Linked DNA regions of Danio rerio. The protein of the gene in region 2 interacts with the protein of the main gene of each other region in a biochemical or structural test. Links are inferred from orthologs where the notes say so. Each region holds a gene or a part of one and is shown on either strand. Other genes may lie near its edges.

Evidence for each region.
Region 1: the proteins of ep300b (region 2) and jun form a complex in vitro, tested with the Homo sapiens proteins (5 studies listed by BioGRID, with this or other methods). The link is inferred for Danio rerio from reciprocal best matches to the Homo sapiens genes EP300 and JUN.
Region 3: the proteins of ep300b (region 2) and ptmaa form a complex in vitro, tested with the Homo sapiens proteins (2 studies listed by BioGRID). The link is inferred for Danio rerio from reciprocal best matches to the Homo sapiens genes EP300 and PTMA.

Annotation. Positions count from the first base shown.
Region 1 is NC_133195.1:16,778,075-16,782,337, reverse strand, and holds jun (transcription factor Jun), read right to left. Parts: upstream 2,464-4,263; 5' UTR 2,195-2,463; coding exon 1,268-2,194; 3' UTR 604-1,267; downstream 1-603. UniProt on the Homo sapiens protein: Transcription factor that recognizes and binds to the AP-1 consensus motif 5'-TGA[GC]TCA-3'.
Region 2 is NC_133178.1:23,792,263-23,796,360, reverse strand, and holds part of ep300b (histone acetyltransferase p300), read left to right. Parts: intron 1-1,238; coding exon 1,239-1,819; intron 1,820-4,098. UniProt on the Homo sapiens protein: Functions as a histone acetyltransferase and regulates transcription via chromatin remodeling. Acetylates all four core histones in nucleosomes. Histone acetylation gives an epigenetic tag for transcriptional activation.
Region 3 is NC_133181.1:32,300,665-32,305,299, reverse strand, and holds the start of ptmaa (prothymosin alpha-A), read right to left. Parts: upstream 2,904-4,635; 5' UTR 2,804-2,903; coding exon 2,759-2,803; intron 464-2,758; coding exon 395-463; intron 301-394; coding exon 213-300; intron 91-212; coding exon 1-90.

The DNA of each region.
Region 1 (4,263 bases), on a different chromosome or scaffold from region 2:
TTGCAGCATTATTTGCCTATAAATGTTAGTAAATCATTTTCATCAGTTTTAACATTTGATAGCCTAAATAACACACTATTGTTATAAGGAGTATTTTTAAATTTCAACCATTTATTAATTTAATATTAAGTCATTGTTGCTGGTTAAATTGTTAAAACTTGTATACATCTTCAACTTCTACAATTTTTTTTAACATATTTGCAGGCTAACACTAACCTTAATAAACTTTTGTTTCAGTTGACACAAAAATGAGGCCATGATTAAAGGCATTGGTCTATTTAGTACTTGACTGTGTGATAATTACTTGATAATTTCAGCATTACTGATTTAAAGAGTCAATCAAATTATGTGTCTGCTTTATTTTGATGTAAAAATGTTATATTAAGTTTGCATTTAACCTTTAGCAATTAAGCATGTATTTATAATGTTATTATTTTTAATTACTGTAAGGATGTTTTTTGACACCCTTTTTTCCCAGTCCTGTCTGTGGACTTTACAAAACAGCCAGTCTCTTCCAAAACATGTTATTACATGTTTGTCAATTTGAACACACACACACATACACACACAAGCGTCATTTCCATTAAGACAACAGAGACATTGTTTTTCATTTGACATACTTTATTACAGTTCATAAATATTGATTAGTTTCTGAGGTGCTCAGAAAACAAACATAAAAAATTATTGTACTTTACTTACAAATGGTAAACTTAAGTACTCCTGGTTGATCATATTTACAAATAACAATGAGTGAAACCTCATTAATGAACTTTTTTTTTAGAAAAAGAAACTGCTTAAGTTGGACTAACTCAAAAGGAAAAAAGTCGATTTCCGTTCAATTTAAGAACAACAAAAAAAGTACAATATGTAGCTCAGAAGTCAGGCAGCTTTTTTATCAAAAGTTTAGCAGACACAACGTCCTGCTTGGTGAGCCAGTATCCCTACTGTACGGCAGTCGCGTCTCTGTTTTACTCCTATAATACTGAGTGCTCCTTTGAAGCGTATAGGTCCATGCACAACCTGGTCGATGTGAACAAGGATTTCGTCAGAAAGTAAAACATGTAACAGAGTGAGTCTCATGCGCTCTGCGTCTCTGTCGGACCGAGTGAAGTTTTGCGCTCCTCAAAAGTCCAGTCGGATCATCCTTTAACGGCACGCGGCCGGCCGGACGGTCCCGGTCCCCGCGGGCTCTGTCGCGCCAGATCGCAGACATCAAGCCCCTGAAGTTTGTTTATGTGGCTGAACTCAAAATGTCCTTCGGCTCTCCTCAGAAGGTTTGCAGCTGTTGTGTCAACATGAGCTGGCAGCCGCTGTTGACGTGGTTCATGACTTTCTGCTTGAGCTGTGCCACTTGCTCGCGCAGCATGTTGGCGGTGGACGCGAGCTCCGAGTTTTGCGACTTCAGGGTCTTGACTTTGTCCTCCAGCCGGGAGATCCTCTCCAGTTTCCTCTTCCGGCATTTGGACGCGGCGATTCTGTTTCTCATGCGCTTCCTCTCGGCTTTAATCCGCTCCTGGCTCTCCATGTCGATAGGAGAGAGCGGTGGGGTCTCGCCGGGCATCTCGGGCACCGTTTGGGGCTCCTCTTTCAGGGCCTGGAGGCGCGGGTGCTGGACGGGCAGCTGCGGTGGTGCGCTCGGGAAGCTCATCGCGGCTGGATTGGCCGAGCTGCTGCTGATAGCAGGGTTGAACGTGTTCAGATCCGCGTAAACCGGCGGATCAGCGCGCATGGCTGAGCTGTAGACCGCACCGCCCGCTATGGACGAGACCGGTGCCATGCTGCTGTTGATAGTAGTTTGGGGAGCCGAGGTGACGTTGGGCATGTGCTGGTGGTGCAGCTCAGCCAGTGCCCTCACAAAGCCCTCCGCGAACCCCTCCTGCTCATCCGTCACGTTCTTGGGACACAGAAACTGGGTCGGAGTTGGCGTCGTGGTGATCATGCCGTTGCTAGACTGGATGATGAGCCTCTCCAGCTCCGGTGATGCCAGTTTGAGAAGTCCCACGTCGGGAGAAGTGAGGATATCGCTGGCTTTGGCCCTCAGGTGGGGCTTTAGGTTCCCCGCGGGGTCGGACAGATTGAGCGTCATGTTGTGTTTCAGAGCCTTGTGGTTGTATCCAAAAGTGGCGCTGTCATGCTGAGAGAAAGCGCTGTTTAGAGAGTCATCGTAGAAAGTAGTTTCCATCTTGGTAGACATAGAAGGCAAAGCGAAACTTTTAGTTCAGAAGCAGTCTTTTAGGCGCTGTTAAGCACTGTCCGCGTTCAGTAACGAGCGCTGCGGTGTTTGGAACAAAAGCGAGAGGATTGGAAAAGTTCCTCAACTCCCCGTCCCGCGAGAAACTTACTGCGTAAAGTTATCGCCAGTGTCACGGGCTCGTCTCCTCCTGCCTTCCGCGGATAGAAAGTTCTTCCTCCGCCGCTGTCGCGCTTCTCAGACACCAGCAGATAAACAGTGCTTAGCCGAAGGCTTATTTATGTTGGTTTGAGTGAGGTGTTTCACTGTGGCGAGGTCTGTATACTCTGAGCTTCTCCAGCGTGGAGGCAAACCTTATCTGCTACCGCTGCCCCACTAAAAATAGAAATGATGTAATGCGCGCAGCCTCTCATTGGCTGGAGGCGTTTTACTGGGCGTGTCACAATTTCAGATAAGGCGCGTTGCCTAGACGACCACCCAGAAGATTCTACTCGCGGTGCCTGATGGGATGAGGTAATGCTGTAAAGCAGTGCATTGTGGGATTACGTATTGTTTTTGAATATCTGGTTACCCGCTTAGCTGTTTTAGACCGTGGCGGGATACAAAGAAGCAGAGTAATGTACAACGCGCCACTTTTAGAACTTAAACTTTACTATAAGTTTGAGAAGAAGAGGCAGAATAAATGTGTGCCGCTGTATGTTTGAGAGTTGACCAATTCTTGCGCGAGTTTCGCAAGACGCGGCCATTCTTTAACAACAGCAAGTTCCAAACACTCTCTGGATCCAGTTTAATGTATTGCATATACATCAGTAAGGTAAAAAATATATATTAGAAATACAGTTTGGAGTCAGTGAAACTAATTTCCAACCTTACAATAAAATGTTGAGGGAGATTTAAAACGAAAAAAAAATAGAAGAAATGCCTTCTGAAATAATAAATTAAATAAGCATAACTTGATGTTACTCATTTTGTTTGAATATAATGTTAGATTAGCTGATTAAAAGTATTTTTTTTTAATCAGTCGTTGAAATATATTATGAATTAATTAGTATTTGCTAATTTTACTCTTCTTCACTTCCAGCACTCCCTTGTTGGCCCCCTGGGGGTCCCCGAACCCTAGTTTAAAAACCTCAGTGTTATACAGGCATACATAATTTAATCTGGCACGAAGAAACAGGGCTATAGTCTGCTTTTTTATGCCAAAGTGCATTTGCTCCGTCAGCCAATGGTCTAAAAATGGGGGCGTTTCTTATTGTGGAGTGACAGCGTGCCACAAAGTCCAGCCGCCGTATCCGTGACAGTCCCTAGAGATCCTCTCAAAAGTGCAAACAACCCTGTTAAACGTCACTGCGTCAACCACAACCACAAACTGATCGAATATAGCGTGACAGCTGACAAGTGACGTTTCAGTTTACTTTCTGAGATTTTTACTGACGTTGCTTAAACGTATGTAAAGACACAATAGCTAGTTTATTTGTATTTATAACAACATTAGTAAGATAAATATACAGGTAATGTTGAGATGGACATTTGCAAGAATGGTCGTTTTTATTATTGTTTATTTTATTAATTAGTTTTTGTTATGAGTACATTAAAATATGGTTGATTCTACTGTTTTATAGCATATAGGTCAAAGTAAAGAGAAGACAGTTTTTTTGTGTTACTGTTACTCTAGCACTTATTGATGGTCTCTGACATGTTTCACTTTGTTACAACAGATCAAACACTCGAGCACAGTGCCACTGGATACAAAATATGGACTTTATACACTGTTTAACAACCTATTTATCTTGTGATGATCATCAGTGGTATTTCTATCACTTTTCTCATATATATATATATATATATATATATATATATATATATATATATATATATATATATATATATATATATATATATATATATATACACAATATAAAATATTTGTTATATATATATATATATAACAAATGCACAAAAATCAAATCCCAATACTTAATTATTTATTAATACTTTTAAAACAAATGATTGTTATTATCATACACATTAAAATCATCTAAGATCTGGCTTTTTTATGGATTATGCAATAT
Region 2 (4,098 bases):
TTAATCATGAGCATGTCTAAATATACATGCATTAAAAAATTCTTTAATTATATTGTGACAGCAATTCATGAAATCAGGTTTTTATATTACCTGTGTGGCATTTTACCAATTTTCAACCCTGTTATACCCCGTTTCCTTTTGTTTTAAAACAGCCAAAATGGTAAACAAAATATTTAGTTATTCATGACGTTGTCAGGTTAATCGCTTTGCTTTTCTATAAGTCCCTCACAAGCGCTCAGAAGTTTGCCGGATTCATATGTAGAGTATGTTCAATGTATTAGTTGTTGGTATGTTTCTGTTATCAGGACCTGCCATTATGTAGGAAAAAGGCCCCCATTTTGTCCCAGAGCTTGTCCATTGTTATGCCATACCATGTGTTTTTTATTAGTATGAACCATTAGGACATGCACACCGGTTCTACTGCATACTGCTCTCCAATGCTCTGTCTCTCATCACAATCATCTGTTGCAGCCAACAGCAGAGATTTGTTCAGTTGCAGTTCGGTCAGATTTTGTTGATTTCTTGCTGTATACTGATTGATAGACCGATATATTGACCGAGACGATTAACCGGATGATATTTGACCACTGGAGACTTGCTGTTCATTTCACTGTCTTTTAGGTTTTTTTAGGTACAAGTTACATTCATATGCACTTCAGTAAAATTGGATTGCTTTTCCAATGGCTCATACTGTTGACACCAAGCGTGATAATGATTTAAAGATATAATTCTATATATTAATGCATGACATGTCTATAATAGTAATGACAAGGAGAAACAATTTTTGGGAATTATGTTCCTCTTTACTTTAATAAACTTGGGCGTTTTAAATGGATAATGACCCAAAAATGAACGATTACTGCTTCTTAAATGATTCCAAACCTTTTTTTTTTCTGTTGAACACAAAATAAGATATTTTGAAGAATGCTGGAACCCGGTAGCCATTGACATCTATAGTACGTAATACAAATACTATGGAAGTCAATGGCTACAGGTTTCCAGCATTCTTCACTGCTGTGCAACAGAAGAATTAAGTTTGGAGGAAGTAGAGGGTGCATAAATTGACAGATTTTAGTTTTGTTTAGATTTTTTTCTCACTTTAACACATTATTCCAGGTGGAAACGGGGTATGCTTATCATTTTATGTGTGAGCAGGCCTTAATGATGCTTTGATTTATCTAATTGAGAATGATTTTTTTGTGAGCGGCAACCTAAAGGTCTGTTTTCCTGTCTTTCAGATTTTGGCTCTCTGTTTGACCTGGAGCATGACCTCCCAGATGAGCTCATTAACTCCTCCGACCTGGGCCTTCCAAACGGGATGGACCCCAGCCAGTTGCACACCAGTCTGGGTGGAGGAGGGATGTCAGGCCCTTTGGGCGTCTCGGGCCAAGACACTGCGGCCAAACACAAGCACCTGTCTGAGCTCCTCCGCCCTGGTGCTCCTCCATCCGCCTCCACGGCCACCGGCAGCCCCGGTAACGCTGCCTCCTTAGGAATGATGGGAGGTCTGAGCGGTGGCCCTGTTACTCAGGGAATGGGTGGCCCTCAGCAGCAGCCTAGCATGATGCCGCAGCCTGGCATGGTGGGGGGACTGAACCGAGCCATGATGGGCACCCAGAAAGGGAATGGACAGCCGCAGAGTATGATGGGTGGGCAGATGATGAATGGTGCACCTAGAATGGGCTACGCCAATGTGAACATGAATGCAGGCATGGCTGGCAACGGGAATATGCTGCCCGATTCTCTGCAGCAGCCAAATGCAGGGCAGCAGATGGCACAGGCAGCAATGAGACCGCAGCAACCAGGAGCAGTGAACAAGGTAACGTGGGAACAAATCAGGGTGTAATAATGAGAAAAAGGATTCTGTGTGCTTGTACAGATTTTTATTTGTATGAAAAGCTTTTGATTGACGAAGACTTGTACACACTTCTGAATGTGTATCCAAATTTACTTTTCTATTAAGATACGAACAGAAAATACGGGAAATATTAACATAAATTTACAAAACAAAACTAATTAGGATAAAAATGATTCTTTAAGTTAAAGTTGGTGTTTAATGTGACCTCCCTTGGCATTTTGAACAGTTTTGTTGAGTGTGTCCTGTCGAATTGTTCAAATAATGGGCTATGTAATATAGGGCTGCAACTAGCAATCATGTTGATAATTGATTAGTTGGCCAATATTTTTTTTCCAGATTAATCTGATAAAGTGCTGAGTACTTTTTAAGATGTGACCTTTTGCTTATTATGGCTGTATAAAACTCTAAATTAGGCTGTTATTTATGTGTAAATGTCAGTACGTCCCACATGTTTGAAATATACTTGCTGTGGTAGCCGGATTGAAAAACGCCATTTACCCGCAGCACATAAACAGTTATACTATGAGGTATGAATATATAGTATAACTGTATATTTAGTATGTTTTTTAACGTAATTACATTTTTAACAATTTTATTTATTGTGACACTGTTTTAAACTGTTTCTTTTCAATGATTTAAAGTAAAAAGGACTGTTGGAATAAAAAAAGTAATCCACTATTTCTCTTATTTTATGCTAAAAGATAGCCTATGTAATATACTAATATCAGCAAATTAATAAAATAATCAATAAATGAGAAATAAATGGAAGAAAAATGAATTCTGTTATACGATTATTTAAATAAGGCAAATGCGTTGAATAACTTAATGGTTTACATTTTGCAGCCAGTTTAGACCAGTCATTTTGTCCTCTTCTAATATATACTAAAGTTTTTTTGAGTCGTTTAGATTGAAAAAAATGAATTGTTGAATGTTTCTCTTGCTCGCACAACTGTGTATGCGCAGTCAGTCACAAACTTAAGCGAAAGTTGAATTAAGTAATAAGGTAATGCAAAAACGCATAAGAGCTTTAGAAAGCAAAAGCAAAAGTTGTATCCGGACATTTTAAGAGATTTAGAAACCTGGGCCGGACTAATTTTATAAGTCCCGAAAAAGGCATATCTCTGTGGGTCTGCAAAGCATGTGCGACGGTCTGTGGGAGTGTTGACAGGTCTGACGCGCACAGAACAAAACGGGTGAATGAGAAGATTTTTCGCTACTTAATCGAATGTGGATGCTTGGTAATTGGATGTTAATAATAGTAAAAAGATGTGTCACTAAATATACTTTAGCATCCGTTAATTTACCTGGGTTTCCCGCCCAACTAAAGTCTATGTATAGGAAGCACTGAAAGTGTACTTAGAAATATATATAAAAGCCGCATATTGAGGTCAATGATCTTTGATTTTGACATTTTAAATCTGTCTAAGCGGTTTGTTTTAGAACGGTAAAATTTTTCTAAATATCTAAAATACAAGCAAAACAAGTGTTGTACACCTGTTATATTCACATTATGAAATTAGAACATAAGCATGCCAAGATTGAGATATTAAATGGCAGAATTTGTTGAAATATCAAAATTATAAATAATAAACAAATAAACAGCAACAATTTCTTTTTGAAACAGAGGAAGAAATCAGCTAAAATGAGCTGAAAACCATAACATAGACTAATTGTGATATTCTACTACTGCTGTTGTCTGTTGATTTTAAATATGGAGTCTCTCACTCTAATCCCACCATTTAATTTAAGCTAATTTAATTTAGAGCCAGTACTTCTGTCCCTCGAAAATTCAGTCTTTCGTAGAGTGAGGGGTATTATCCTTTTTAAGGCATTTAATGTAAAATTTTTTGATACCTTGGAGGACTAGGGGTGCATGATTTTTTTCCATCAGCTGCTTCTGTACCTGCCATTGCACGAGGGGCTTTCTATCTTGTCGTCATGCTTCTCAGTCACTTGAGCAGCCCAACTAATCTGCTATGCCATTCATTGACAATCAATTTCATTGTTGATTTTACCCATAGTTGTATATCAGATAATGTAATTAATAATTATTATGAGGTATGTAATTGTAGTTAATATCAGGGCTCTTTCGGCACTTCCCTAGGTTTTTCTTTAGATTTAGGCTTTCCTTCCTTCCTTCTTTCCTTCCTTCTTTTTTTTTACTACATACTTATACAGTACTGCCAATTTAACTTATAACTAATTCAATTCACCTGTACTGCATGTCTTTGGACGGTGGT
Region 3 (4,635 bases), on a different chromosome or scaffold from region 2:
AGTGTAAACTTGCCTCATCATCATCATCATCTTCAGCCGCTCTTTTTCCCGTTCCACCCTCAGCCTCCTCATCTTCATCATCGTCATCACCTGTAATGTGGTAATACCTTAGTAATTCATCTTTATTTACACATTTTGGTTGTCAATTGTTTAAACCCACAGCAGATGTTTTAAAAGCTTTTTTTTTTTTTACTTTCATTAAATAAACATACCTTCTCCATCATCCTCCTCATCTTCTTCAGCCACATCATCGTCTTCCTCATCTACTTCATTTTCTGGATCTCCATTCTCCTCGTTTTCCTAAAATAATAGCATTATGGGTTATTAATGGTCGTACTTGAGGTCTTTTAGTACTGAAAACTTTATGTTGTGAAGTAATTATTTGGAATCGTACCGCATTTCCATTCGCGGGAGCATCCTTTCCATTTTCCGCCTCCTCAACCTGTTTCTTTTCTTTGAGGTCCTAAATAAGGAACAAAATATTTCTCTGTAAATTCTTTGGTTGCTTCTCTTAACTAAACAGCGTGAGCAGAGCTAAATTCACATCCTCTCATCTTCGCGGAACGTGTTTTCATTTCACATTTGAAACGCGACACTTTCTCTCTCTTTATTCATTGGACGCCTGTCTCTTCCATCCCCGCCTGGTTTAAAGACCATATTGAGGTGTTGTAATTTGATACGGCGATGGCGTTACCGCCAAAGTGCGCTGTAGTTCAGTTTATTATCCACATCATTACGCTTGATGAAGACACGCCCGCTAAAAAACTACAACTCCCAGATCACAATTAGTGAGTATTTTAAGTCAGCCAATAGGAGAGCGAACTCGACCGAAAAGAGGCAGGACCGATAAACCTCAGAAAAGGAGAGAGTGAGTGAGTGAGAGAGAGAGAGAGAGAGAGAGAGAGCGAGAGGAGGGGGAACAATAGCGTTGTGCATTAAGGCCTTTAATAATTCGTCTTTTTCGAGCACTATACTATTGTTCTCTCGAGAATGACCATTACTATTAAGATGAGCAATGCTATTTATCTAATTATTTAACACGTTGAATCTCCGTATAAAAGCGCATCGTCCCGAATACCAGGATGTGCTTTCATGCAGCAGCTCGCTCGCATTAATAAATTTAGGTCATAATCCTCAGCTTTTAAGCCGGTTAGTGTCCACAACACGCCTGCAACGCCTTCTCACACACCGTCACCACTACATGCCGCTTCACAGCGTCAGTGAGCCGTACATGAATAATGGACATTTGCCACTGTCTACGAGATAATACTGACCCATTTATTGATCAAACAAACAATGTGGGCAGTAAGCTGAAGCGGAAATCATCTCCGTCTTCCGTAGGCAAACAAGAGATGCAACAAAGGACAAACAGGTCAAAATGTTGTGTCCACAACTGGAGTAGGAGATCCTCGTATGACACCAGTGAGGACACCAGTGAGAAGCGCGCACTCGGCTACATGCACTGAACGGGGCCGTTCACCAGCGCGCGGTCCTGCGCTCTCGGGCAGCCCGACGGAGCGCAGCGCAACGGAGATAGATGTAGGATCCCGAGATTACATTTTAAAAGATGAATGAAGCCGTTGCGTCCTATAACGCGGCGCTCGTGCGTGAATCGCTTGAAGGAGCATCACAGCGAGAAGCAACCTGCAAATGCGTCGATCTAGTTTGTTTGCAAATATAAGCAGCGTGAAACAGAGCCGCTGCCTGCACGGGTGCTCGTAACTTCGGGTTTCGCGCTCTCCTGCTGCGCTGCCCGCGCGCGACAATAGAGCTCATCCAGTCCGCCAGACTGCTGCATCCGCAGCGGGGTTTCGCCGGAGAAGTTTACGCACAAGCTGCGATCGCTGATAGAAGCAACTTCTTCATGTTTCGATACAGACTAACCAGTTCTTCCGTGAACCAAAAGAAGAGCCTCGTTTTCTGTTATTTCCTGTTAATTATCACCTAACGTTATCCCGACGCTGTGCAAAGTAGGTTCAGGTAGACTAGATCCACATAAATCTCATAAGCAGCTGATCAATCTTGTATGATGAACTCTGTTTCACCACAAAAAGTGAACTATAAGCCGAACTTGACAGAACTTAGAGGGCAACGTGAATTAAACCCTTGATAAAGTCCCGCTGAATGGAGCGTACATGTGAAGCAGGTTGGTTCTGAACATAATAATCCCAATGATAAATTTGGGTTTTAAACACTAGTCAAAAAGAAAGCAGCTCTAACGTTACATTAAACATCAAGGAAACGTGCTATAAACAGAGGCATCAGACATCGTGAGGGCTGCGGTAAGTTGTGACAGATCGAGCTGCGGGCTGACGAATCACCGCGTCTCGCGGACTCTACGAGGCTCCGTCAGTATATCCGAGTCTGTATTAAGTAATAATCAAACTCGAGCAACTAAACCAAATGAGCAGACTGGAGATAATGCCTACGATCCTCTGCGTCCATCTCTTTCACTATACTTTTTAAAGAGGAACCGAAAATCCTCCTGCATAAACAAAGACCCCGCGCAGAATACGAACAAAAAGCCTTTTAGTTGCAAATGTGTCCGTAAAAATCTCCACTTCACGAATTTACATCCACGAAGTCTTCAAAGTGACAGTGAGAGGACAAAACACCTACAAAAAATTGCCAAGAATATCCCAATAAAGCTGTATGCTGATTTCCATTCCACAATCCATATTTCATACAGCTCGTCTGCTCATATGAATAAAAAGCAGCATCTTTACAAATCAGTGTAAGCCGAAGTTGTATTCATTACCTTTGCGGAGACGTCCTTGTTGGTATCGACTTTTGTGTCAGCCATTTTTCCTAAATGTTAAGATTATAATGGGGTCTCGGAATAAAATAATATAAAGAGAAACACGAGATGCGAATGATAAAAAAGACTACTAAGGGTCTGTAGCGAGCTCAGACGGCGGCAGAGCACTTTTATAGAAGGAAGGCGGAGCTCGGAGGCGGGCGCTGTCCATTGATTGGTCAACATGCCAGCGACTCTGCTTCGCAGATTGGTCTTGATGGAACAATGGACAGTATTTCTACAAAGTCGGACCCCGCCTTCAAACCAGCCTCTGACTCATTTATGTGTGGAATAACTGTCGATATATACTATCCTGGTCAACCTCACAATGATGGATGGCCTAGATGGACTCAATGGCTAAAAAAACAAAACAAACAAAAACAACAACGATTTCACAAAGAGAAAGCCAGCCAGGTCTAGTGTGTTATGCATGCTTCCTGATGTGTTATTACATTTAGTGACATTTAATTGTCATCATACAATATTTTATCACCCCGTTATTCATAAACACTATGTTAAAATTTCACAAAACGCTGTCTTGTAAACTATACAAACATGTATCTAATCAGTATGCAAGCACAGAGGTTACAAATACTACTAAAATGATCATTTATTTGTTTTAGGAAGCGCATAACCATTTTCTTTATCTGAACGAAAGGTCACGCTGAATGAATATAATATTGCGGCAGTTTGTGGACGCCCCACTGGTGAAACCTGCTCAACATTTGACTGACAGTTCTTAAAACCCGCCTCTTTACCAATGTTTCCACTGGTAAGTGGGTAGCCTTTGTAAAATATTATCCTAAGGAGTTGTGTAGGGTTTTACACACGATATAGTTAAGAAATAATACAAAAATAATACACAGTTGGTTCTTCTATTTAGAACAAGACAAAAGTCGCGATTTTAGATGCCTGATGTTAAGCGGAATCTCACTCGCACTTGCAAACATGAATGATTCGAATGCCTGATGAAAAACAACGGATAATCTCAGTAAACGCAGTGTTTTATAGACATACATTTCGTCGTTTAGATAGGTTATGAAATTTAAAATTTGCACGCTGCGGGGAAAATGTAATGGTGTACGTCTTTACCTCACCAACATGGCTGATTGAAATTCCATATGGCGTCTTAAAGTCTTCTTATTGGCCGATTGGGCCGAACGAACACAGACTTGACGCTTTGCGAGCGATGATTGGATAAAGCCAACGTCAATCAACTGAAGTATCGTTTTTTAAGGTGCTAAAGAAAACATGGAACTGGAGCGTTGTCTTTTCCCTTTTCATTTCTCCATTTTCATGTCAAGGACAGATAAAAGGTGTTAGCAAACACACGCTCAGGACTGGATTTTCGCAAGGGTAATTACTAACAGGTTACTTATTGTCATCATTTAGTCGACGCATTTATTTAAAGAGACTTGCAAATGAGACATATCCCAAGCTATTTATCTCACTAACAAAACAGTTGCAGTAGCGCTAAGTTTACAGAGAGCTGTAGTGTAGTAGCTACAAACGTTACAGAAGTAAAAATTATTATTATTATTTGCACAATACAGTATTTAACGAGGCATTAAAATGAGATTTAAAAACTGCAACCTTGTCATCTAATCACATAATTTATTTGCTTAATTACTATCACTAATAACTTTAAGTATACTTATCAGTATTCTGTATGCTTTGTCATTTAGCAGGCACTTTGCATTTGCTACAGTAACTGCATATATGGATCAAACTAAAGTTTAGTGCCTCGCTCAAGGGCAAAATGATGAGCAAAATCTCCCTACACACCAGTTCCTGGGTCACACTATTTGAAATTAAACCTGCAACCTTTGCATTAGCAG